Drosophila melanogaster: one gene and its partners. Changing the gene in region 4 together with the main gene of any one other region gives a genetic interaction. Each region holds a gene or a part of one and is shown on either strand. Other genes may lie near its edges. The genes, in order: psidin, Khc, stan and Tm1.

Evidence for each region.
Region 1: of Tm1 (region 4) and psidin, changing one suppresses a phenotype caused by changing the other (phenotypic suppression), as found in Drosophila melanogaster (2 studies listed by BioGRID).
Region 2: of Tm1 (region 4) and Khc, changing one suppresses a phenotype caused by changing the other (phenotypic suppression), as found in Drosophila melanogaster (one study listed by BioGRID).
Region 3: of Tm1 (region 4) and stan, changing one enhances a phenotype caused by changing the other (phenotypic enhancement), as found in Drosophila melanogaster (one study listed by BioGRID).

What each region holds. Positions count from the first base shown.
Region 1 is NT_033777.3:20,020,005-20,027,037, reverse strand, and holds psidin (phagocyte signaling impaired), read right to left. Parts: upstream 5,335-7,033; 5' UTR 4,985-5,334; coding exon 4,924-4,984; intron 4,835-4,923; coding exon 4,610-4,834; intron 3,682-4,609; coding exon 3,189-3,681; intron 3,124-3,188; coding exon 2,724-3,123; intron 2,659-2,723; coding exon 1,375-2,658; intron 1,312-1,374; coding exon 1,113-1,311; intron 1,053-1,112; coding exon 868-1,052; 3' UTR 556-867; downstream 1-555. Other genes in the region: CG4424 (uncharacterized protein), read left to right, coding at 97-207, 273-411; PIG-L (phosphatidylinositol glycan anchor biosynthesis class L), read left to right, coding at 6,156-6,690.
Region 2 is NT_033778.4:16,266,417-16,273,795, forward strand, and holds Khc (kinesin heavy chain), read right to left. Parts: upstream 5,556-7,379; 5' UTR 5,070-5,555; coding exon 4,923-5,069; intron 3,838-4,922; coding exon 3,378-3,837; intron 3,240-3,377; coding exon 1,360-3,239; intron 1,289-1,359; coding exon 848-1,288; 3' UTR 544-847; downstream 1-543. Other genes in the region: csul (capsuleen), read left to right, coding at 1-237, 303-458; CG33017 (uncharacterized protein), read left to right, coding at 5,896-6,225, 6,289-7,379. UniProt on the Drosophila melanogaster protein: Kinesin is a microtubule-associated force-producing protein that may play a role in organelle transport. Milt and Miro form an essential protein complex that links Khc to mitochondria for light chain-independent, anterograde transport of mitochondria.
Region 3 is NT_033778.4:10,671,388-10,676,387, reverse strand, and holds the start of stan (starry night), read right to left. Parts: upstream 3,044-5,000; 5' UTR 2,419-3,043; intron 1-2,418. UniProt on the Drosophila melanogaster protein: Involved in the fz signaling pathway that controls wing tissue polarity. Also mediates homophilic cell adhesion. May play a role in initiating prehair morphogenesis. May play a critical role in tissue polarity and in formation of normal dendrite fields.
Region 4 is NT_033777.3:15,279,867-15,284,605, reverse strand, and holds the start of Tm1 (tropomyosin 1), read right to left. Parts: upstream 3,057-4,739; 5' UTR 3,003-3,056; exon of another isoform or gene 2,749-3,002; intron 1-2,748. UniProt on the Drosophila melanogaster protein: Tropomyosin, in association with the troponin complex, plays a central role in the calcium dependent regulation of muscle contraction.

The DNA of each region.
Region 1 (7,033 bases), 4.7 Mb from region 4:
CATAATTATTCCAGTAAAAACATTTCTGTATCTTTTGGAACCTCTATTAATTAACTACAAGTAGAGACTAGCTAATTAATTGTATTTCCTCCACAGAACCCATCGAAATGAGCGTCCTTATGCCTGCAAGACCTGCGGAAAGAAGTTCACATATGCCAGTGTCCTTAAAATGCACTACAAGACGCACACGGGCGAAAAACCCCACATGTAAGTGGTTTCGGTTTTAAACTAAATCAAACCTAAAACTTATCACGTTGCTATTATTACTTCAGATGCCAACTCTGCAACAAAAGCTTCGCTCGCATTCACAATCTCGTGGCGCATCTGCAAACGCAACAGCATATAAATGATCCACGACTGACTGCCTATCTAAGTACCTTTAAAGTGGGGATTACTGTAGCTAATGCTTAATAATATAATATTTATAAGATCGCGACATTTTACCTTTGCTTAAAGCCTAAAACTTTGTATATACGACCTTTGTTATATAAAGTTTGCTAGAAAGATTTCATGAAACTAACTAAAAAGCATTCTAAAAAAAAAAACAAACTGTTTACATTTTTACAATTTATTCTTTTACTTGACTTACTTGCAAAGCGGTACGCAATCTTTTTTCTTTGTTTTGTTCTTTTCTAATTTTTGTTTTACAAAATTTTACAACTTTTATGTGTTGTACGAGGGAAATGCCGAAAAGTGATTGATAAGTGCTGACTTGGCGCTGGTGTTCGAGATAATTGTAGTGTAGGAGGATTATGAGGTCGGTTGTATCCGTTAACAAAATTAAATAACAAACTATGAACTTGGATTGTGTGGGGGCAACGATGACCGGACTGGCTGGCTGATGGCCTTTGCACAGCAAAGAAGCATCTACTTGGCCACCATGCGTATCTTGTCCTTCAGCAGATTGCGCAGCTCGGTGACCATCAGCTCGTGCGAGTCCTTAAAGGTGGCCGAAACGTCGCCGATGAGCGTGGCTTCCACCTCCGGCTTCAGCGACATGTCAGACATAAAGGAGCTGAGGTCGCGTGGCAAAACGGGCGCCTTCCAGGAGCCTAAGGATTGCAGAATCATACCTTAGTTTATCTTTGGGCGATTTGTCTAGAGCCACTTACGTATGGCCGTGTCGCAGGCCTCAAACTTGTGCTTCAGCTGTCGCATCAGCTCCTGCAACATCTGGCTGCGCTCCTTCTCGCTGATCGGCTGCGGTCCATCCACCTTGTTTTCCACCGGCTTCTTCTTGGTCTTGGTCTTTGAGCTTACCTGCAGCTTGTCGTTCAACACGGACAGAAGGAAGGCGTACAGCGATAGCATCTGGAAAAGTTATAAGAACATTGGTGAATTTAAGATTACCTGCTTTTACTACCAACATTTTACCTCTAAACTGGCTGCCACTTTCTGCTGCTGACCTCGCCGCTTCCACAGACCGTCAATGCCGTTGCTTTCGTTGCTCTCGTTGATGGTCTGCACGCACAGCTCCATAGTCGCAATAACATTGTCACCCACCCGCTTGCACTGCTCGGCCAGCTTTGCCGACCCGCTCTGCAAGTCAAGGACCAACTGGGCAAGGTCGTCAAAGAAACGTTCGTATGGCATGTCGAGCAGCAGGTGAAGACGTGTGGGCAGCAGATTGACTAGAAATTTTTGCGCCAACGGCTTGTAGTTCATCACGCGCAATCTCTGGAATAATCCCGTCCAGGACTCCCGCAGGAGCTCCAAGGTGGCCGTCTCTGCTCCCGCTGGCGAATCCTTTAAGCCCGCGCCGTGGTACAAGTCGATGAAAGAGGCAAAGAGTCGAAGCATCAGCGAACGTACTTGAAGCACCTCAACTTCCTGGTCGAACGACTCCCTGCGCTCCTCCGCAGCGTCTACCTCATGTAGCGGATCCCATCGGATAATGGCCCCTAAGTCGCGATTGTCGCTCAACTCATGCCAAGCGATCCGGTCCTCCGCCGGCTCAATACTCATCGCCACATATGCGGATAGATTCTGCGTGATATTGCCATAGCAACTAACCAAGTCACAGATCTGCGCCTCCACCGAGCAGGCCACGTACTGCAAGCTGTTGGTTAACCGCTCCTTGAAGTTCATGAACTCCTCCATTTTTGAAAACGTGCAAAAGCGATATGTTAACGCAATGTATTCCAGCCTTTCCTTATAGCTGTTCGTAAAAAACTTTAGGGTGGCATCGTACACGTTACGATTGCCCGAGAAGCGACCTCCAAGAGCCAACAGTTGGCAGTGCACATAGCCCATGGAGTCCAGCTGAATCTGCTTAATGTCCAGATACTCATACATCTCCTGTGCGCCCACTTGGCAGCCAAACAGATGGTAGATCTTTAGACTTAGCAGTTTCACGTGGAAGTTACTCGTACTGTTTCGCAGAACATACTGCAGCAGGCACAGCGCCTCGAACAGGTGATCCGACTTATTTTCCCGCCTACTCAGATCGTACATTACATTTGCCGCCAGCAGTGCGTATGCATCCGATGGTCCCATTTCCGTAGCCAGCAACTTCTTACCGAAAGTAGTCCTGCCGTGCTCGTAGTGCAGCTTGAGCGCCGTATAGAAGGCAAGCAGGTGGTCCGCAGGCAGATCCATGTGGGATCCGCACATTCGAGAGATTTGCAGAGCGCAAAGATGTTTTTGCAACTGCTCTTTCTACAATAATCATATACCAACAATCGTTAGACTCAAAGTTGAATTTATAATTTTTGCGTACTTACATTTTTTGGAAGCGACGTGGAGGTTACTCCGCTCTCCAACAACAACTTGCTGGCTAGCGCTTGCCTCTGGTTCATGCTGATCGAAGGCAAGAACAAGGCGATATCGTGAGTGCAGCACGATTTGTCGCCGAACAGACGGAAGTACTCAATGACCATCTCGTCAAAGTCACCGATTAGTTTTTCCGCCGGCAATTGCTCCGCTCGCATGCGTTGGTGTAGCTCCAACCGCGCCAGATAGGGTCCCCTTTTCTTGCGCTCCGAGGAGTCAATGATGCGCTGAAGGAACTCCTGACACCTGGCCAGAGAGTCCTTATCCCCGTTCTCCACGCCCTGCGGCGTAAGTTTTAGCAGCTCGAACGAGCTTTGGATATACTCCTTGTAGAAGTCCCAACGATCACGACTTGGGGATAAAAAATAAAACTTAGAAAACGTAGTTATACATATGAACTTATTGTTTAAGCTCACTCTGCGTCCAGCAGCTGCTGCAGCAGCTCATTCAATTCCCGCCAGTTTCCCAGCTCCTTGAGCAGCTCGAACTTCATGCTGACTGGAGCACCGGGGTACAGCTTCGCGCACAGCTCACCAGTAAGGAATTCCCACGCCTCCTGGTACTTGTTTTGTAGCTTAAGTATGTGCAGATAGAGGAAGGCCTCCTGTTCCGTCTCCATTTTGCCCTCCTTGATGTGCTTGTCGACCATGCGTTGCGCCAGTCCCAAGTAGATTTTCCGCTTCTCGGGCAGCGCCGATTCCGGTCCACGGATTCCCTGGAAGACTACGCTGATCACCGACCAAAAGTAGTAGGCATTTTTCGGCTGCGCCTTGTACAGCTGCAGGGCCACCGCCTGCTGCGCCTTGTAGTCCTCCACCCTCACATGTGAGATGAAGAGGTGGGCGAGGAGCTCCTCGTTGCCCGGATTCTGCTTCACAGCGTGCTGGTACAGCTCCACAATTTTGTCCACTGCAAAGAGGCCGATATTTATATATTATTAGCGATTTCAACTTTCGCAGGTACAGGTATCTATATATTCAGATCGTTGGCACGCACTTGCCACTCGTCGTCCGACTAAGAGAATGCGATTTTAATTAGTCGGGCGAGGTGCGCGTGCCAAGAAAATACGAAAATATGAATTGTGGCCACTTCGTGTGCGTAGCAGGGGCGTCTCTAGGGGATTCACAGATGTGGCTAAGAAACATTCTTACTTAAAAATGTTGCTTTGTATTCGTCAATCGAATTTAAAAAAGCTCAACAAATTGTATCCTTTGATCGACCATGGTTTCGTATTTAAATAACTTAAGTAAATATTAATATTATCTTTAAATCTATACTTTAAAATATTTTGTATATACATATACATACATATACAAGCATTTAACTCATGGATAAGGAAGCTATTCTTTTTATAAAATTTCAATTCTAGAATGCCTGTAACCTTTACACATTTGAAAGGAGAAATCTAAATCCTTAATTATTATCTATACATACAATGAGTCCTTGCCTCACACAGGCATTTCGTTTTTAGATTTAAAATTGGATATTAACTTACAAAAGGTTCTTCATAACTTAAAAGTGTGCTTCACAAGTCAAATTCATAAATGAAACTAATAATTTATAGCCTATCAGGAGCTACTTGTGAACAAATTAGTTATTTCTGATGGCTGGTGCCCTTCTTCATCGCGTTAGAACGAGAGACTAGGTTCGTGCTTTAAGAGTTTATGGCTAGTTGGTTATATCATACTCCTAAATAACTTCTACTTGAGGTAATGTACCTCCTAGACCATGCTTAGTACGTTATCAATCTTGCATTTGACTGAACCTAATCCCCAGCAAACGGTGGCTCCACGTGGGCTCAGTACATCAGCCCTGCCGGTGGTTTACCCATACGTACGTTGTTCCATTTCGCGGTAGCAGAAGGACAGCACCTGCAGCGTGGAGTCGTCCGTGGGCTTCTCCTCGGCAACGGTCTGGAGGCATCCGTGGCTTTCGTCATAGCGTCCCAGTCGCAGGAGCGAGAGGCCTTTCAATGCCCGCGCGCAGAGCAGGTTGGGATGTTTGCGTAGCAACTTCTCGGATTCCTGCAGAGCCTTGCGATTGTTGCCCACCTCCAGGTTGTCTGCAAAGGATTGGGATGTTAGTCTGTGAGACTGTGGACCCGGCACATGGAGCGCCTCATTCCGCCGTGGACACGGACAACACACTCACCGTATACCGGCCGCAGTCGCCGCTCGAACAGGGCCGAGTCCATGCCCTGCTGCTGTGCCATGTTATCGTGTTATGTGGTGCTGCTGTATGCTGCTAACCTAATTACAACGTGCTGCATGCACCTCGAACTGAGACTCGCTCTCTTTTGGGTTTTGCGGCACGCTGTCGTCTGCCGTTGATTAATTTCCTGCAATCGTTTGGGGGCTCTCCTTGGGTTGCCCTCGGTGTTTGGGCGGTCGGGGACGGGCGGCTGGCTCTCGGGCACTCGAATCACACGGTCGTAGGCTAATTATGTGCTTATTTTCATAGAAACTAGTGACTTTAAATTTTATTCAAAATAAAAAAAACCTCAGACTGCATATTCGGTGAGAAGAGAGCGGCCCCTGTATTTTCTCCAGTATTTTCTGGTATTTTTCGAGAAGAGCATGCCGACATTAGGGGTCTTCGCTCAAATCACAAATTTAAGCCATCAAGATACTCTTATTGGGAAACTTTTAAAATTCCATTCAATCATTCTGCTTAGAATTTTAAGGTTAGAATATGTCTTGTACAAAAGTGAATTTCTAATAGTAGTTTTTAGTAATTTTGTTATTATCTATGATCAACAAAGTATTGATATTCTTCAAAAAGTAGAAATGTTCATAACTGTAATTCTTTATATTTCAGATTAAGTTTTCAAAAAAAACTTAAGATTTTATAAAAACAGTGACAAGAGTACCCCTACCGCTGGGCACTTTGTCCAACAGCTGAGCGATAGAGATGGACTGATATATTCTCACGAATGGTAGCTTGCCAGCGAACGATGAATGGCAGAAAAGAGTTTATCAATTTATTCGAGTGCCAATTAGATAATTTAAGCTTTGTAGTTGCACGGCGCACCGGACAGGTTGATTAGAAATCGTGAATGAGTCAGCGTGAGTCACGCACCTGCCACGCACCACGCCAGTTGCCCATCTCTAGCTGCTGCCCCCGAAAGTCGAAAACGCGTAAAGTTTTCGAATAAAATGCAGAGATTAGCCGATTAGGCGGCGCGCGGGCTCGTAACCAAACGTTTTGAAGTATTAAACTACCGATTAAGAAACACATCCACTTAGTGAAATAGTTTAAGTAACCGCCCGAGCACCGTTATCGCCGCTTTTCCGCTTTTCCTCGCTGCCAAATTGCGCTGCATGTCCATTTTTGGTGAAGAATTTCTCGCCAAAAATCTTGCCCTTGGCCGGACGCAATGAGCGATGAGATTTAACTGGCTGAGCGAGTACGTGGCCAGCATATCAAGCAGCATTGCATCGACATCCCCGTGGCGCCAACTGCAGCAGCAGGTGCAGCAGCTCGTCCCCAATCCTCAGGCCATCTACTGCCGTATCAGGTCATCATCCGCCGAAGCACTGGAGCACGTACTGATCGCCTGTGCGGTGTACTTGCTAGTATGCCTGGGCCTCTACAAGCTCACCTTCTGGCTCTCGGGAGCCGGATCGGGATCGGGACTGGACGCCCACCACAACGGCAACGACACCAGCAATGCCGGGTCGGGCGAGGGGGCAGAGCTGAACCCAAGTTCGGATGGCAATCGGAGTCCTGGCGGCCTGAAGCAGGCCCTTCAGTCCGGAATACGGCTGCGTAGCGTCCGGCTGCCCAAAACGGCGTGCATGGAGCGCGTCCTGCTGATCACCGCCCATCCGGATGACGAGTGCATGTTCTTCGGACCGCTGATCTACTCGCTGACGCAGCGCCAAGGCTGCCAGGTGTATATACTCTGCTTGTCCAACGGTGAGACCACCAGCAGTGACATCATCCCCAAACCACCAATAGATCTGGAAGCATTAAACGAAAGTACACATTTCGAAATCAGTAGCGAATCTGACTTAGCTTTATTGCTGCCATATGGGCACAGCATTCTCTTTGTGTTAGCCAACAATCGATTTCGTGCAATATATGTAGTCCGTATTGGAATTTTTAATAATCTTTAAATGTTATATATTCCTGCCCATTCTACTGTTATTATTTTAATTATTGCAAAGATTCAGGGGCTACACCGATGTTATCTTTTTATAGATAATAAAAAATAATACCGAGCTGATAGTAATGTAGGGCCGATTTGTATATTTCTTTC
Region 2 (7,379 bases), on a different chromosome or scaffold from region 4:
AATATTTACCATATTGACGAGCCGCAGGCTCTGTTTGAATTCGTACATCCTAATCGAGCGGAAAATATTGACAATACTCGCTGCAAGACGGTTTCATTTAAAGTCAATAAAGATTGCGTGCTGCACGGAATCGGCGGATACTTTGATACCCATTTGTACAAGGACATCTGCCTAAGCATCAATCCTCTGACCCATACGCCTGGCATGTTCTCCTGGTTCCCCATGTTCTTCGCAACGGTACGTGTGATGTGATTAGTTAGCCTTTGATAACTGCTACATTAATATATATTTTTACTACTCAGCGTCCAAGAACTCTGAGGGAGGGACAGACTATATCCATCCAGTTTTGGCGATGCGTGGATGCAACCAAAGTGTGGTACGAATGGCAGGTGGTCAATTCTCCAGACGATTGGGAGCACCATAACACACGCGGGACAGGTTACAACATGCGATTGTAACAGCAGACGATGTAATAACAACCAATAGCCAAATAATCGGCATAATTTTTTTGAACTGCAATAAGAATCAAACTAAAGAGACCTTAATTTGTCTGCGACTTTTATTTAGGTTTATGTTTGAAAAGTTTATAAATACTCTTAACGTATATAGATGTCCTTACATATCTGTGGGTTTTATTATTTTCGGTTTGTAAAATTTAGTTAATTTCCGGTTTCCTTTCATTTATTTAATTAAATTATATGTATGTATATTTAAAGCGCTGCACATGATCGCGACACATCTCATCTAAGCGAAGGCAATTATCAGTTATGTTAAGTATGTATAACGTAATCCATTTAGTTTAGTTTAAAGCGGAGCTGAACTGGGCGGCGACAGGTGGTGATTGGATCTACGAGTTGACAGGATTAACCTGGGCCAGCGGGGATGGTCCTCCAACGGCGCCACCACCACGAATGGCGATTGCACCCTGGCCGGACCGGATCGGCTTGGCGATCTGTGCCTGTGGGCCACGTCTGCCCAGATGCTTCTGTCGCACCGCCTCCTTGATGCGGTCCACCTCGTATTGGTAGCGCTTGCGATCCCGCATTGCGCCCTCCTTCGCCTCCTTGAGCGCTGTCTCCAGAGCTTTCACCCGCTCCATGGTACAGCGTAGACGCTTCTCCAGCTTGGGCAGCTCGCACCGCAGATCGGCGTTGTCCCGCACCAATTGCTTGTGCACCTTGGTCAGCTGGTCGAGGTTGTTCTCCAAGAAGGAAATCTTCTGTTTCTGCGCGAGTGATCCACCGTCCTCCTCGCTCTCCTCGTTTACGACATTCTTTCGGATTCGTTGCTGTTGGCACAAGGGAAATACATTTTAAGATCTGTACGTAGCAATAATAGATAGGATTGCTTAAACTTTACCTGTAGATCCTGAACGAAAAGTTTTCGCAGGTTGTGTAGCGTCTGCAACTCCTTGGCCACCGTGTCCTCCAGGCCCTTGAGGTCTTTGCGCGCTTGCTCCCGACGCTCGTTGGTGAGGATGATGTTCTGAAGCTCGCTGGACTTCTCGGCATCCTCCTGGCGCACCTTCTCGTAGTCGGCCGTCATCTGTTGGTGCGCCAAGAGCAGCTTTTGATGGACATCCTTCATCTCGTCCATTTCGTGCTGCTTGGCGGCAATCTCATCCCGGAGCTCGGACACCTGCCGGGTGTGGGCTTCGCGTAGCTCGTCCATCTGAGAATCGAACATGGAGCGCAGCTCCTCAGCCCGCTGTTTCTCCTCGGCGTTAACGGCGGAAACGTGCTCGGCGGCCTTGAGCTTGGCGCATTCCTCGCGCAGCGAATCGATTTGTTCCTCGAGCGTGCGCTTCTTGTTCTCTGCCTCCCGCATCGACTCCTGCAGCGACTTCATGCGTGCCTCGTGCTGCGAAATGAGTAGCCGGTACTCGCCCAGATCTTTCTCATATTCGGAGATCTTCTTGTTGGAGTCAGCCTGCTGTGTTTCCATGTTGGAGCATCGCTGGGCAATGTTCTTGGCCTCCGTCTTCATCTTGCTGATAAACAAACGCGCCATGGTGAAATCTTCCTCCACCTTGCTGGCATCCGTGCCAGCCAGAGCACTCATCTTGAGGTCAATGCTGGACTCGCCGGGGGCAATGGCCTGGCCCACTTCGCCAAGGTCGCGCAGTAGGTTGGTTAGCATTTCCGTGATGCGCTTCTTCTGGTGTGAGGACATGTCCTTGAGCTGCTGTAGCTCTGTGGAGGCGGCGTTGAACACAGACTGCTTCTGCTGCAGCTCCTCGTTGAGGGCATCGATATCCTTGTTCTTGTTATCGATCTCCTGGGATTTCTGGTCGTAGTTTACAGCCAGCTCTTCGAGAGCTTGGAGCACCTCCTTAACCTCTTCCTTGGCGGACTCGTTCTCCTGTTGGATTCGCGCCATCTCCGACTGCAAAGTCTCATACTCACGCCGAGCGTTAGCGATGAGTTCCTCCTGCTCCATCACCTGCTCCTTGAGCTGCTCGGCGTACTGGCTCTGCTGATTGATCTCCTCATCCTTGTCGTCCAGCTGCTGGTAGAGACGCTCGCACTCTGTAGCCAGCCTGGCCTGCTCGTTCACGGCAACCGATGCGGACATATTGGCGAGAGCCGTTCGCTGGGCGGCCAAAGCGGCCTCGGCCGCCGCCGTCTGTGCTGCCTCCACTTCCAGGTTGGGCGTGCTTGCCTCCATGAGATCCTCCATGTTGATTTGCTCCTCCGCCTTAACAGTTTCACCCGCTCTCCAGCGCGCAAGCTCGATCTCCAGCTTCTCCACCTTACCCTTTAGTCGGGCGTTCTTTTCCTTCTCCTTTTCATAGCGTCGCTTCCATTCCTCGGCAGTAAGCTCCTCGTTAACGCAGACCACGTTCTTCACTGTCTTGGCTCTACGACCGAAGTCCAGCGTTGACTTCGTTTCAGATTCGTTGAAACTGGCTGGAGAGCAGCAGATGACGATGGTTGTGCGTGCATTGCCTCCCAGCGACTCCTGCAGGATGCGCGTGAGCTTGGAATCACGGTAGGGGATGTGCGTTTTGTTTCCGTCCGCCAGGGCTGAAATTACGTTGCCCAAGGCCGACAGCGACTTGTTGATGTTCTTGGCTTCATCAAGAACGGTTCCCTCCGCTCCAGTCTTGGAAACCTTCTCGGAACCGGCCAAATCCACCAGGTAGAGTTTGCCGGATAGTTTCTTCTGGTTCTCCAGGTTCTCCTGCTTCACATTGATAAGGAATACTGAGTGGGATCGCGAAGAATGCTCGTTCATGTCTGAAAGGATGGATAAATCGTTATAAAAGATGATCTGGTACATGAAACACTACAATCGAGGTCAGAGCGAATGCTGGAATAACTCCTAGACTTGTTTGGCTGAAATGGTCCTGACCATCGATTTTAATTAGTACTCACTTGTCACAGCGATGTGACGATTGGATTTGCCCTCCTCGATCACCTCGAAAACATCCTCCGGCGACGAGACGAACCGTTCCGTAGCGCCCTTGACGTACGGCACCCGGTTCTTGTCCTCGTGCACGCTTAAGTTCACCTTGGAGACGTCCAACAGATCTCGAATCTTGTCCATGTAGATCTCGTAGTAGGAGACCTTGATGTGAAACTCCAGGTTCACCTCCATCGCGTAGATGTGATTGAAAATGTCGTTGACGATACGTGGTATGATACCCTGTTTTACGGAGTCCCCGATCACGCCCTCCATCGTATGCGTTTTTCCGGAGGACGTCTGACCATATGCGAATATCGTTCCATTGTACCCGGCCAGGACATCCGTAACAATGGACTTGGCCGCCTCATTGTAGACCTTCTCCTGGGATGCATTCGGTTTGAAGACCTTGTCGAACAAATACACCTTGCCCTGCAGACGATGGAGATTAGGTTTAGTATAATGTGTTTTTTTCTTTAGTACATAGCAGCCAGTTACATTAGCTATAAACTGGTGTCAGTTGCGGTGAAATTTCTTTCGGAGATTCATTCCCCCTGTCCCCGATCTTTTCCCGCTGACTGCCTTTGAATCATTTTCAACGCATGGCCGCGAAGCAGATTGTAATTATGAGCATTAAGACATGTTAAGTGGAAGGGGGAAGAATAGTGAATAACGAGCGCCAGAAGAAAGCCACAGCGAAAGAGAGATAGATAGAGTTAGTCAGAGAGAGAGAGAGAGCGTAATGATAATGTCTGTGTATGGAGGCACTATATTAGTGCTGACTTTTTTGGAACTGGTTCAATTGCCCAAGCTTTACCAGGAATATGACGGATTACACCTGGCGGAAAAGCGGGAAATTCAGCATAGCATACAAAGCAATAACATTTCATGTGGCATAAAAGCAATACAGCCAAATTCCATTGCCTCCAAAGTTGCTCTTATTGTTTTTCCTCATATTTTTTTTTTTTGTATGCTTTGCGTGCATGACTCATTGGCGCGCGGACAGGGGAGTGGAAGTGGAGCGGGGGCTACCGTCAATGTGTGTATGTGTTTGTGTGGAAATGTAAGTGAGGTAAGCACTGAAGGCGGACTGGAAACTAGAAAAGCGCATATTTATGCGGCCCAAAAGAATGGAACACCCGCTTTTAGCAGAAAACCGTCTAGTGGGTGGCATTTCTCCACCCCGTCATCGCGCTTCTTTCGATTTACACACCCTATTCTTTTTCGACTGGGGGAAAATCAATTTGGTGCAAAGCAATATTGATTTGGAGTAAAGTTAGTTGGTTTCATCATATACATGTATATGTACATCTAGTTTTGTTTTGTGCAATTATTCATGGGTAACTTTAGTGCCTCTCTCTTTTTATCGCCTGGCATTCCAATTGGTCGGCAATTTTGGGGAAGGGTAATGTACGCTAATAGGCATGACGTCATGGCGCGGCACGCCGAGATTAATGCATAACACATAGGGAAAAGGCACTGGGGGCTGGCGAAAACTATAGATCTGGAACACATACCGCTATGGATATGCAGTTCTCCTCCACATTGTTGGGGAACTTGACCACGAACTTGGAGCCGGCCTTCTCTTCGCTGTCGTTCAGCGGTCGGAATCGGCAGACCACTTTGATGCTGTCCTCGGCGGGAATCTCTCGTTCCGCGGACATTGCTTACAGGGCGGAGATAGATCTTTCTGGCGGAGATTGTTGGATTTCTGCAGCTCTGGGCGCGACCTCTGCGCATGCAGCTCACTGTTTACGTGGATAATCAACGGACTCGCTATCGTCCGCACTATCTGCTGTTCACTGTTTGCTTGTGCCGATTCTGGTACTCCGTTTGGCCCCTTTTGTTCCGATTCTCTGCTGATTCCGACACACTCGCGAAAATTGGGTTGGGGGCGGCTCAAATAAGAAGATGCAGTGAAAATTTTGTGGTTATACCAGACACAAAAGTTGAATTGGTCAAATGGCGATAACGCTGGAGCGCAACCTCGATTCTGACTGCTCCGCGTCGTACTGTTTTGCACTTTTTTGCCCGGAATGATTAAGTGCAGCCGCTAAATGCACTCGCATACGTTAGTAGGTCGGAATTAGTTGCACTCAAAACTATTTTATTATTCGACTATTATTTTCGCTACTGTGCGCCAGTGTGACCGTTCTGCTCGCCCAGCTAAATACCAATCGCCATTTAATTGCACAATAATACTGAATTAATACTCTCAAAAGCTTCGAATGTATGAGACACCCTGCAGATCTTGAAAATGGTAACGGCATATAATATTCCTAATTAAGCGATACCGTTTAAAAATCATTCAAAAATTATTCAAAATTGCTTGTTTATTGTCACTTTTGTTTTTCCTGTCCAAATATTTCGGCTTGGGCGCAATATATAGCTCCAAACTAGGCATACAACCTCTGTAGGTTCAATAGGAAAACGCTATGGAAGATTGATCACCGAGTCGCTGGAAAGGATTGTGGAGAACAGAGGGGCACGATGGCACAGAAGGATATTACGTCGTATTTGAATTTGGAGCGATTGAAGAAGACGCAGAAGCTCATCCGACTTTATCGATCGAACGAGTGCCTCTGGAATCCAAAGTCACCTGGTTTCCATAGTGGTTCTGCGAAGGATGACGCCTGGCGACAAATCACCCGGCGGATGAACTGCGGCCTGACTCCTGACCAGGTGGAGCTGCAGGTGCTCGGTCTGCGGCACTACTACTCCAAGGAATTGGCCGCCATCCGAAATAGTCAAATTGAGGGTTATAGTTATAGTCCAAGGTACTCCTACTTCGAGGACTTGCATTTCTTGGGAAACTTGGAGGTGAGTGGATGGTTTTTGCACTGGATATTGAATAGTGAACCATTATCTTCTATTTTTACACAGGAGGAAGCTAACTGTCCCATTAAGGAAGGACATTTCCCACCCAATTTTTCGGAGGACACATTCATATCGCCTCTAGCTTTTTTAAGTCCCAGCTGCAGTGAAACCAGGTGCGGGTACACCTTCTACAAGATGATTCTAGAGCCTGAGCCACCAAATGAAGAGTTCTTAGGTGTGCACCATGAAAGATCTACGTCCGGCAATGATCGGTGGTATCCCACTGCGTACTGTGTTCGTTGCAAGCCAGAGGAAGACGAAGATCCTTGTGAAGCGTGCGAGCTAAGAGGTCAAAGCAGTCGTCCTCAATTCGGAAGTAAGAGCTCTTTAGAAGGCGGAGAAAGCGGCAGTACCAACCCAAGGATGTCTAATCGGTATCAGGAACAGGATCAGTCAAATAAATTCCAAAAAAGTGATAGCAAACAGTATCGAACTGGGAAACCATGTTCATGTCCCACGAAAGACAACCCAGAAAAGCGTTCATCGCAAACGCAACAAAATGATGTGTACGTCGGTGCTGACAACTGGGATGGTTACGAGTCCGTCGGCAATGGTATACGCAGCGATAGATGGCCAGGTCCCAGACTATGTTCCCAAAAACGCGGAGAGTGGAAGCCCAGGTTCCGTAAAGTAATCGGCGAGGACAATCAGAAGTCGTGCTGCGACAGCTGGAAGCGAAATAATAATGCCGTGTGCGGGAGACTTCTAGACCAGTTGGCCAAGCAACAGAATCAACCCGGCAGTTACTCCGACGATGGAGACTCCGTTCGGAATCAAAGCTGCGGCTGTACGAAGAATCGCCGCCAGTCAGGCGAGGATCAGTTAAACGTAATGCTGTTGCAGAAGAAGTATAGGGATCGGACTTTGTCGAACAATGCAAACAATCCTACCACCGATCGACACAGCAACACTCAACCGATTTCGGATCAAACTTACTATAACACCAGCCATCCAGTTCCGAACTGTTGTTACTGCACTTATAACCAAGTAAATCAAGACGTTCAGCGCTGCAATATCCATGGATGCCAGTGCATTTACTGCAATCAAACTGTGCCTCCCGCCCACGGTAACTACTACCAACCGCATCATGTCGATCA
Region 3 (5,000 bases), on a different chromosome or scaffold from region 4:
TCCATCTGTATTTGTATATGTAAATGTATCTGACTGTTTTTTTTTTCGGCTGTATCTACGGACCACTGCTGCCGTATAAAACTGAACCGTACGTGTGTATATGCATCAATTAAGCTTTTATTCTAACATAACAATTTTGAATGTGGCCGAAACCAGTTTTGAGTGCGCGACCAAGAGGGCCGATGCCTACGCAGAAGTATCTCATGGATAGCCGTGTGAGTAGTGGCCAAGAGAGGCCACCATAAACCCACAAAAGATACCGAAAAATGTGGACCATCAACGTCATCAATGAATCTCTGGTGTGTGCACACGAATTCGTCCAACTCCATGCCATGCAAATCTCATTTGGCCATTGGCCCTCTGATTCTGTAATAAATTCCACAATAGACTGTTGATATTTTGATGGACTCAAGCCGGTCACAAATCAGCCACATTAACTGGCACGAGACAGCATTCAAATGTTAATTAATCAAGAGTCATAACGAGTTTTCCTATGCCGGCATGGATATCGAATGGATTGACTGAGGTTAGTTCGCCGTGCGAGTTGGCTATTCGCAGTGAATGTGGCATCAGAAGCCGGAAAAAATCACCTTTTTCGTTGGCTCCTTGGCCAACTGAAGTCTTAACTGATCACTTCGAACTCAAAAAAACAAAAAACATAACCAATGAAAAACAGGTTGCGGCTACCGAAGAAGAAGAGGATGCGTTCTGGTCAGGATGATGGCCCGTAGCGGATCTGCCTGCCGGTGGTGGATTGCTCCTAACCTGGCCGAGACAGCTGCAAAACCGCGAAGAGAGCCAGGCGCTAACAAACTCATTTTAAGCACGGTAAAATATTTTATTTACCTACTTTTTCTTAAATTTTATTCAAGTAATTCCTCTACTACAACTTAATCTTTATATCCGCAATTATTTGATTTCAAATATAAATGGATTAAACTCATTCTACACATATTTCAAGAAAACAGCCTATTGTAAAAATTAAAGGATAACACCTTAAGCCTTTAACTCTTAATATTAATCGTCTTATAAAATATAATAGAACGACATTTGATGTTTTTGTGTGTAACTAAACTTGGATCACATAATTAACCTAAGTAAATAACTTTTTTTTCTCTGCACCAGCCGCAAGAAGAATGGGAAAAGGTTGGTAACACGCCGAGAAAGAGAGACAGAGAGAGCTAGAGAGAGGCAGGGAGAAAGGGGTCGAACGAGGAGCAGTAGCAGAAAACCAGTCTTACAACAATTTTTCAGCTACTTGCCACTGGCAGGCTCAAAATGGACTTGACTTGACTCTTCCAATTGCACCAAACACACCGCATTCCAACTAGAAAATCATAAAACATAAATGTGCGAGAGTATCTGGCCCCCATCGAAATATAACAAAGGCCCTGTTAATGGCCTCGAAAATAAAATCTATCTTAATAAATTGGCAATCCGACAAAACTGAGTCGAGTGAATAATGTATCCAGCAGATAAGTTTGTCCCGGCCTGCTGAAATATTTATGCGCCAGACAAAGGGCGCAGAAACAAAGATACAAACGCAATGGCAAAGGCAAAATCCCATGGACAAGTGTGAAATGCAGGGAAAACAAAGCACTTGCAACGCTCAGATACAGATACATTTGTATCTCGTGCAGGCATTTGATTCCACGATTCCCCGATTCCGATTTCGGTTATGTTTTGACCCAACTCTTCTCCTTTCTCTCCTCGCGCTCTCCGCGTTTTTGACCCACGTTTTAATGTGACTTTTATTGTGCTTCCTCCTTTTGTTGTCTCATTTGGTATTCAGTTTAATGTTTGTTTAGAGCTTCGCGTTTGTATCTTTTTGCGATGGCTCTGAACTTTAACAGTTGCACTGTGTGAGCGTCGGACTTCGACTTCGACTTCGGCCATCGGCCAACTGTTTGGGCCAACTGCTAATTGGAGATGGCCAAGAAAGAGGCCTTAGGTTTAAAGGCCCAATTGGAGCTCTATTTTATTGCCGAAGCCCTAGAGCTGAAAGCCGTTAATTAAGAACGTCTTAAATCGAAACATTTCAGAGGTAGCCAGAACCACTAAGCGTCTTTCCATATCATATAACAAATAAAGGTTCTAGCAATATTTCATACAGGCCCCCATTTATATGCAGATACAAAATACTTTTCTAGAGCTTATAACCCTTTGAAAATATGAATTACGCGATTCCGCTATGGCGTAAGCCCTTAAATACGAAGTTTATCTAAGAGATTTAAGGCCACGCCTGCGGAACATATAGTGTCCTGTTGGAACGACACCTGTCATACGTCATGAATCAGGTGTCATGCGTCGCACAATTCCCATTAGAATGCAGCCGCATCCCGCCCACAAGGACATATGTATATGCGCGAGCACATGCACATATCCTTGATATATCCTGGCTGGAACGTGTGAACTTACAGGCTTTTGTTTGCTCTGCCGCTGAATTTCCACGCGTGGGTGGCCAATAATCCGCTTTAGCTGCACGGCTGCATTGTTAAATATTTATAATATTGCATTTAAAATCGCGCATCCGTGTTGTTTCCTCTGCGTGAATCTTGTGTTTGTATTATTAACACAATATATTATAATTAGCACTCGCCAGTTTGTGTGACTGGCCTCACTCTAGAGCACTGTTTAAACTGATTTAACTATTTTGATTCCGGGAAATTCGAATAATTCGAATGCTAAACCGACTATAACCCCGACCGTTAAGCTGGGCGGCTAAAAAAAGGGGGTGGTTGTTGGAAAAGCCAACGCACTTTTCTGAAAACAGCAGGCGAAGAAAAGACCGCGCGCTAAAATTCACTGAGAGCGAGGATTGTTGTATGTTGTGTTGGCGAAAAACCGGTAATTTCGACCGTCGAAGTTGTTACTTTGGGTTTGCGTTTACCTCTGCCTTTTGGCTTTGCACTTGCCTTTGCATTTGTCTTTGCTTTTGACTTTGCAGAGACGCGCACGCGTAGCCCCGAGTGAAAAATAATACCGTTCTTGCTGGCCAAACGCTCAAAACGCGTCCAATCGGTCCGGAGTCGCAGTGGTAACTGGCAAAACCAGAAACAGAAACTGAGTTTCTTGCTAAAACTCAGTTGGAAGCCGAAGCGAGTTCGTGTATCCGATGGATACTTTCGTCGGTGGTGGATTTTCTGCGGGGGGTGACTGCGTGTTGCAGCAACATTGCCGCGACTGTTGCAACATGTTGCGGCAGCAGAGAGAGGTGCCACCAAATTTCGGTTTGCATCCCCGAGCATAAAAACGTGCAATTTGATCCAGGATTCTTCAACCTGTAGGATATTCAATCTTTGGAAACTTCGAAAGTCTTTTTCTTATCAGTAAATTAGTTTTGCAGCACGCTTTGCATGCTCAAAGATTTAAATCGACTCAATTTATTAAATGTGATATTTATATAATTTTACTACTATTTATTAAATAAATGTTAAATAAATGTGTTATCTGTGCATCGGGCCAACACCTGTAATCGGAATTAGTTTGCGAATCTAAAGATGGTGGAACATTATCCCTTACGGGTAAAACTTGAACATAAAATTGCTAACTTATAAATTTACATGTGGTGTATTCATTTGTTAATATTAATAAATAATATTCCATATAGCCTAGTTTTTGTGTCCCACCAATAATAATTCATTTTCTGTTGAACGCCTTGGTTTGAAAACTAAATAAACAAACAAACATATTATTTGGCATAATTAAGCGATAGTCTAAATCAACGCAATTTATGTTCAGAAACATAATATGCTAAAAGTTCACTGTCAAAACCAAAAATGTAGTACACCATTAAAACCGACCAAATGACCGTTTTCCATGTTATGATGAGGTTCAAGTGTCAAGAGCTGTTAAGTGAATAGTTTCAATTACGAAGCCATTAGGGATGAATCATTATTCCAATTGGGATCTATACATAGGTATGCCAGAAATTCGCATGTTCCTGCTTGCCATTCGATTAGATTTCAGTTTATCGAATTATGCAAAATATTTAATGCAATTTTGGTTGGCAGAATTCGGCAGCAGTGATAAACATATGCTGGGACCCAGAAACCGAACAAGCTTTTGGCCCACAAGGACAACAGTCGTGGGTAATGGCTACGCTGGTAGATGTATGTATGTGTCGGCGGAATTTATAGCTTACAGGAAGGTGTTGGCCAAGACATCGTCGTTTGGCCAACAACTCGCATTTGGCCAGCTGACGTGGTCCGAATACTTCCGAATAGCAACGAATCGAAGGGATTTTGGGAGGAATCGAAGGAATAGGAGAATAGGAGACCGAAATGGGGGTTTCTTGCATGTAATTGACATTGGCCCCTTGCGTTTGATTAATTGCATTTGGTTGAGGCTCTTCCAAGCCATTGACTCGGAATGCTCTGAATTCCCCCATTGATCTGTATCCGTGTCTATGTAACCTTGTGGCCATGTGTAGCTAGCTGCATCCGTAATCTGTAACCGTTTCAATTTGTATCTGTGTGCTTTTTGCGGGGCAATAAATTCGACATGTTCGACATGCTTTCCAATTACTGAGCGCTGGCATTAAACAAATGCAGCACACTTGACACACGTCGAAAGCCGGCAGCCCTTTTCGGAGATCGGAGTTGGAAGATGGGTTATCAGGAGGGAACAAGGCCAAACCTCCACGATTCAGCGTGTCCAGCCAAGCAGGCCAAACACTTGGAAAAATATCACTTCGAGGAATTTTGTTTAAATAAGCAAAGTCCGATTTTTGTATTCAATATAAATAAACAATCTGAGAGTAGTAAAAAAATATGTAAAATGCACTCAACGTATCAGCGTCTTCTTGTTTATGTGGCACATTTTTGTTTGGATTGAGTGGCTATCCATCCATAGTGTCCACATCTTTCTCTCTCTGCAGGACGAAGACACTTGTCTCTGCATTTGGTTTATGCAAGTGCCGCCTGCGAGCGATATAAAAACGCAGGAAGGGGAGGAAGGCGAAGGGGTTTTGCTGCCGCTTCACTGAACCTCAATGTGCG
Region 4 (4,739 bases):
TGGAAACGAAGATGGAGATGGAGATGAGATTGCGGCTAAAACCATGGTTAAGTGCAAGCCAATAAAGCAATTAGCAGATTTATGCGATAATCAGCAAGTGCAAGGGGAGTAGTATTCAAGTCCAAACATGGCTTGTGCGAAAGTGAAACTATATGGAAAATGCATTTGCATTTTATGATTAATTTAGCAATTTTATAACTTGTGTATTTACATGAGGATCCTGCAATCTGATTTCTGCACATATATGTATTTAAATTCATAACTTTAAAGCTCCCATCTTATCTGCATGTTATCAAAATAACTGGCAGATCTTTCTTCCATTTCAAGCTACACAGCGAGTTTTTTGCAATAATGGATAGCCATTTTTGGACGAAAGGTGGCAGAGTCAATAAATTATTCGGCCTGGCCAAAACCGAAACAACCAAGGCCCCCTTTTCGATGCCAGTCAGTCGCATTGTTCGAGCTTAGCCAACTGATAAATTGAGAATTTAATATTTCGACGGCGTCTCTTCACGACTTTTATTGTCCGATTCTTTCGCTGATGTTCTGAACTTTGAGAGTGTTTTCTCATCTCGTCACAGTAAATCATTTAAACGAGAATACCTAAAATTGAACCTTATTTTCTGGGATATACTTCGAAACACCGAAAGCAGGGTGTTTATTTATGCAGATCACATCGGATCGCGTGGTGTGGAGCCAAACGAAGCTGGACGAACTGGGTACATTCTCGAATAGAGAGTTCTGTCACCAGCCAAAATTGTGTCAGTAGATTCCAATCTGGGCCAAGAAATTGCTGCATAGATAAAGTCTTCTAAATCTTCGAAAGTAGAATGAGGATTTGAAATGATAGTAAGCTCATTTAATATATTTTTTTAACTAACATATATCATTGCATACTCTTAGGTGCCATATATGTTTACTCAAATCAATTTATATTTACAAATGTGCGCTTTATCTTGGAATTGCATTCTTATCAGTAAAGTGCAGATGCTGTAGCTACCATCCTCGAATTAAAAACCCAAGATGAATCACTCAGCTGCACTGGGCTATTGCCCCTTTTCTCGAGCAGCTCCAGACTTCTGACTCAATGTGAACGCAGCTGGTGGGTTTTTTGGCCCCTCCTTGGTGCCCATTGACACCCCCTTTGCCTTTCCTGGCCAACACGAAACCCACTTGACCAACATTTGTCATGGCTCGAACCGAGTGCAGCCGGCGGCTAATTGACTCGAATTTCGCCGCGTGAAATTTTAATTCTTTATTACGGCTCATCGCTGTCATTTGTTGTGTGGTTCTGCCTTAAACATGCATTTATTTTTAAAAACTCTGTTTACATTCCTGTGCCTGATCCGCCGAAGAGAAGTGGCATTGGAGAAAAAAGCGCCAATCGAATAAAGCCAAAGCCAAAAAAAAAAAACGTTGAATTTTAATGAAAACGCAATCGAGGCAAATTTTTTGTTCGCTTAAAAAACACACAGATATACATATATATATATATATAAATCTGCATGTGTATGGGCCATAAGTCGATTAAGGTGACACATTGAGTTATGTTTGCGTTGATTCAGCACAAAATTCCCATGACATCTTATAACTTTCGGCAATGACATATATATAATCGAAAAATGGGCCTACACCAAAGAGGTTTATGAGTATTAAGATCATCCTTATCAAGAAATGACGTTATCATTAGGAACAAAGTTAATATTTCAGGAAACAAAATGCGTATATGTATAACTCATTTTTTATATCTAACTAACTATGGCCAACTAACAAGCCATCCTTATGAACTGGCACCTCGCAATTCCTACTTTTCTGCCTAGTTTACAAGTTACAGATATTTTCCATCTGTATCCGACCTTATAAGATCTACCTTTCCACACAAAATTTACAAATTATCGCATGGAAAATTCGGAATTTAATCATACAGAATACAGAATTTTCTATTCTTAGAGTACGATATATACACACGTTGGTTCAAATGGGTCTAATGCATATAGATTCTTTAGCCAAATGCCTTGGGCGATACTCTAGCAGCTTTCCTGCTCTCTATTTCACTGTTTAGTATCTGTAGCACACACGGATTGTATCTAAAAATAGGACAGCCGAGGCATCTGTTGAATATCTAGCCTCTCCACGGATATTACTTAATACTAAGCTGAGAGGAAGGGAGCTTTCTGGGAAATTCTTGGCGCATTTCGCCTACGTTCGCTTCAGATTCATTTGGCAGCTAGGGCCAGCGGTCGTGGATCAGATTTCAAAGATACAAAACTGCAAAGTAAATGCGCGTGTTGCCCAGTTACTTGGAAAATAGGCTCAATGAATTCCTAAACATTTTGGATTAAAGAAAATTATAATTCAGGAAACCATTCCATAGCAAGGATAGCTATCTTGAAGTCTATCTCATTGATCTTTATCTTAAGAATGATTCCCTTACTTTCTCATATACAACATGACAATTTTAGTTTCTGAAAGGAGGAAAGAGAGCTCGATAATCCTCCTTTTGCCTTAATTCTTTACTTCTGCCGCTAAAATCTAAGATCGTTCGAAGTTCCCACTGACCATGTTTATATATCTCATGAAATACGTTTAGCTGAAACCCTATATAGCAACTTGCGGTTAGCAGACAAACTTGACAAGGTCCCCAGAATCGTTATTCTTAGTTTTTTTTTCGCGATCTGCAAAGGTGCTTAACCTCTATTTGGGTTTATTTCGATTCTAACTGGGAAAATTTTCAATTTTTTTCAATACTTGCGGATGATTAGGGTTGAGAATTGCACAGCACTTTGGTGGATTTTAAGTTAGATATTGCAGCAACGTTGTGGTTATGTAATTATACTTTTTGGTTCGATCCTTTTTTTTAAATAAGAATCGAATTCTAGCACAGTTAAAATTATTTTTGAAGCACTCGACAAGTATTTTTGTGGAAATATTCAGCGATATCTTTGTATTTTTTTTTGTATAATTTTTTACTGATCAACGATAACGTATTCCTTTTTACTTACAAAACTTTTATTCGGAGTTATCCGCGACTTGAACGGATTGTGATGTTCAACTGAAAATATTTATTCAATATGTTGACGTTCGATGCTCGCCGCTTGGTCGATTTCGAGCGGCTTGCGCTGGTGTGTGTGCGTGTGAGCCGCCGCGCTAGTGCGCCTGTGTGCGTGAGTATCTGTGTGCGAGAGTGCGCACTTTTCGGCCAAAAGCGAGCATATGTTGTTGCTGTCTGCGCCTACTTTGGAACTGCACTTGGCTCTCAATTTACCCCAAGAGCATCGGTAAATTGCTCGGCCGGGGTACAATAGCTTATACACTGCGCGAAATCAACAAAGGGGTGCATTTGTTCTTATTTATATACTCATATTTAATGTAATCATGCATGCTTTCTAATATCAGGACATTTAATATGCACTTTTGATTTAATGTATTTATAAATTTATGTCGCACTTATCATTTATCATCATTTACTCATGCTACTTTTGTTATTACAAATTTGAATTTTGAAATTCATTTATAAATTATATTAAATGTTTTTTTCATTCAGAAAATACTCCAAAGTGAAATGGGCTATGCCAGTTAAGAAAGCTGTACAACATTTCTTTACCCCTCAGCCCGTAATATATTTAATTTATGTTCCTATCCGATTTCTGCCAGTGTAACGGAAAGCATAAGATCAGAATTTCAAATACAGTTACAATTTATACACACACATTCAAGCCCGGCGCCTGCGCTCTCTCTCCGCTTTCTCTCTGCCTCTCTTTTCCGATCCTTTCCTTGGTGCTTTCACCTGTTCGCTGCACATGTATGGGTAATGCTCACTCATTTCGAATCGAATGCCTTTCTTTCAGCCTATTTTTGAATATTTCCCCGTATTTTGAAAAGCTCTTTTCACCCAGTGTTTTTGCCCATTGCAAAATATATCCAATACTTAGGCAATCGTGTCTCTTTTCCCGATGAGAGTGTATTGGTTTGGGGATCGTTTTGTTTTGCTTTTTGATGTTCTCAACTTCTATTTTTAATTTTCAGTTATTGATATGCCAAAAAATCTTGTTTCACGTAGTTATACGTACGTATTTCCCCCATAGGTCTACAGATTATTATTTTCTGCTCTATATATTAAAGCTCTTTCTATAGATTTTTCAACGTCATGTCTGCGAACGGAAAACATTTTGCTGGCAATCATAAATGTCACATATGAAAGTATACGTTTTTTTGTAACTGTCTCGCAAGAAAATGCATCCATGATTCATGCTTTTTTAAATTGCAAACGTGAAAACGGTTGAAATTCAGTTTCCCCATAATCGTTGAGTTTCCGATCTGGTGATATGCATATTTGCCCTTCTAGATTGCTTGCTTACTCGTTGATCACGCCCTTTTAATCTTATCGCCAACAAAATTGTTGGAGATCTTATATGTTCGAATGCAACTAAAGTCTTTAAATATAAACCTATAAATATAAGCCAATTTGATAGCCCCAACATATATACATATATGTATTTACTTATTCCATTTTTTGTTGTTCTCTTATCTTGGAGAACATTTGCCAGTCCGAGGTTGATGAAAATTTTAAAATTAACTCAAACAACACCCACAAAATGACGTAATTGTATTCATTAAAAACAAAAAGTTTTCGAAGCAAGAAAACTAGATCAATATATTTATAAAGACAAAGAAAAAAAAAAACAAAGAAGACATAGACATGGAAAAGACCCTTGAGAAAACGTCGAAAAACATTGTAA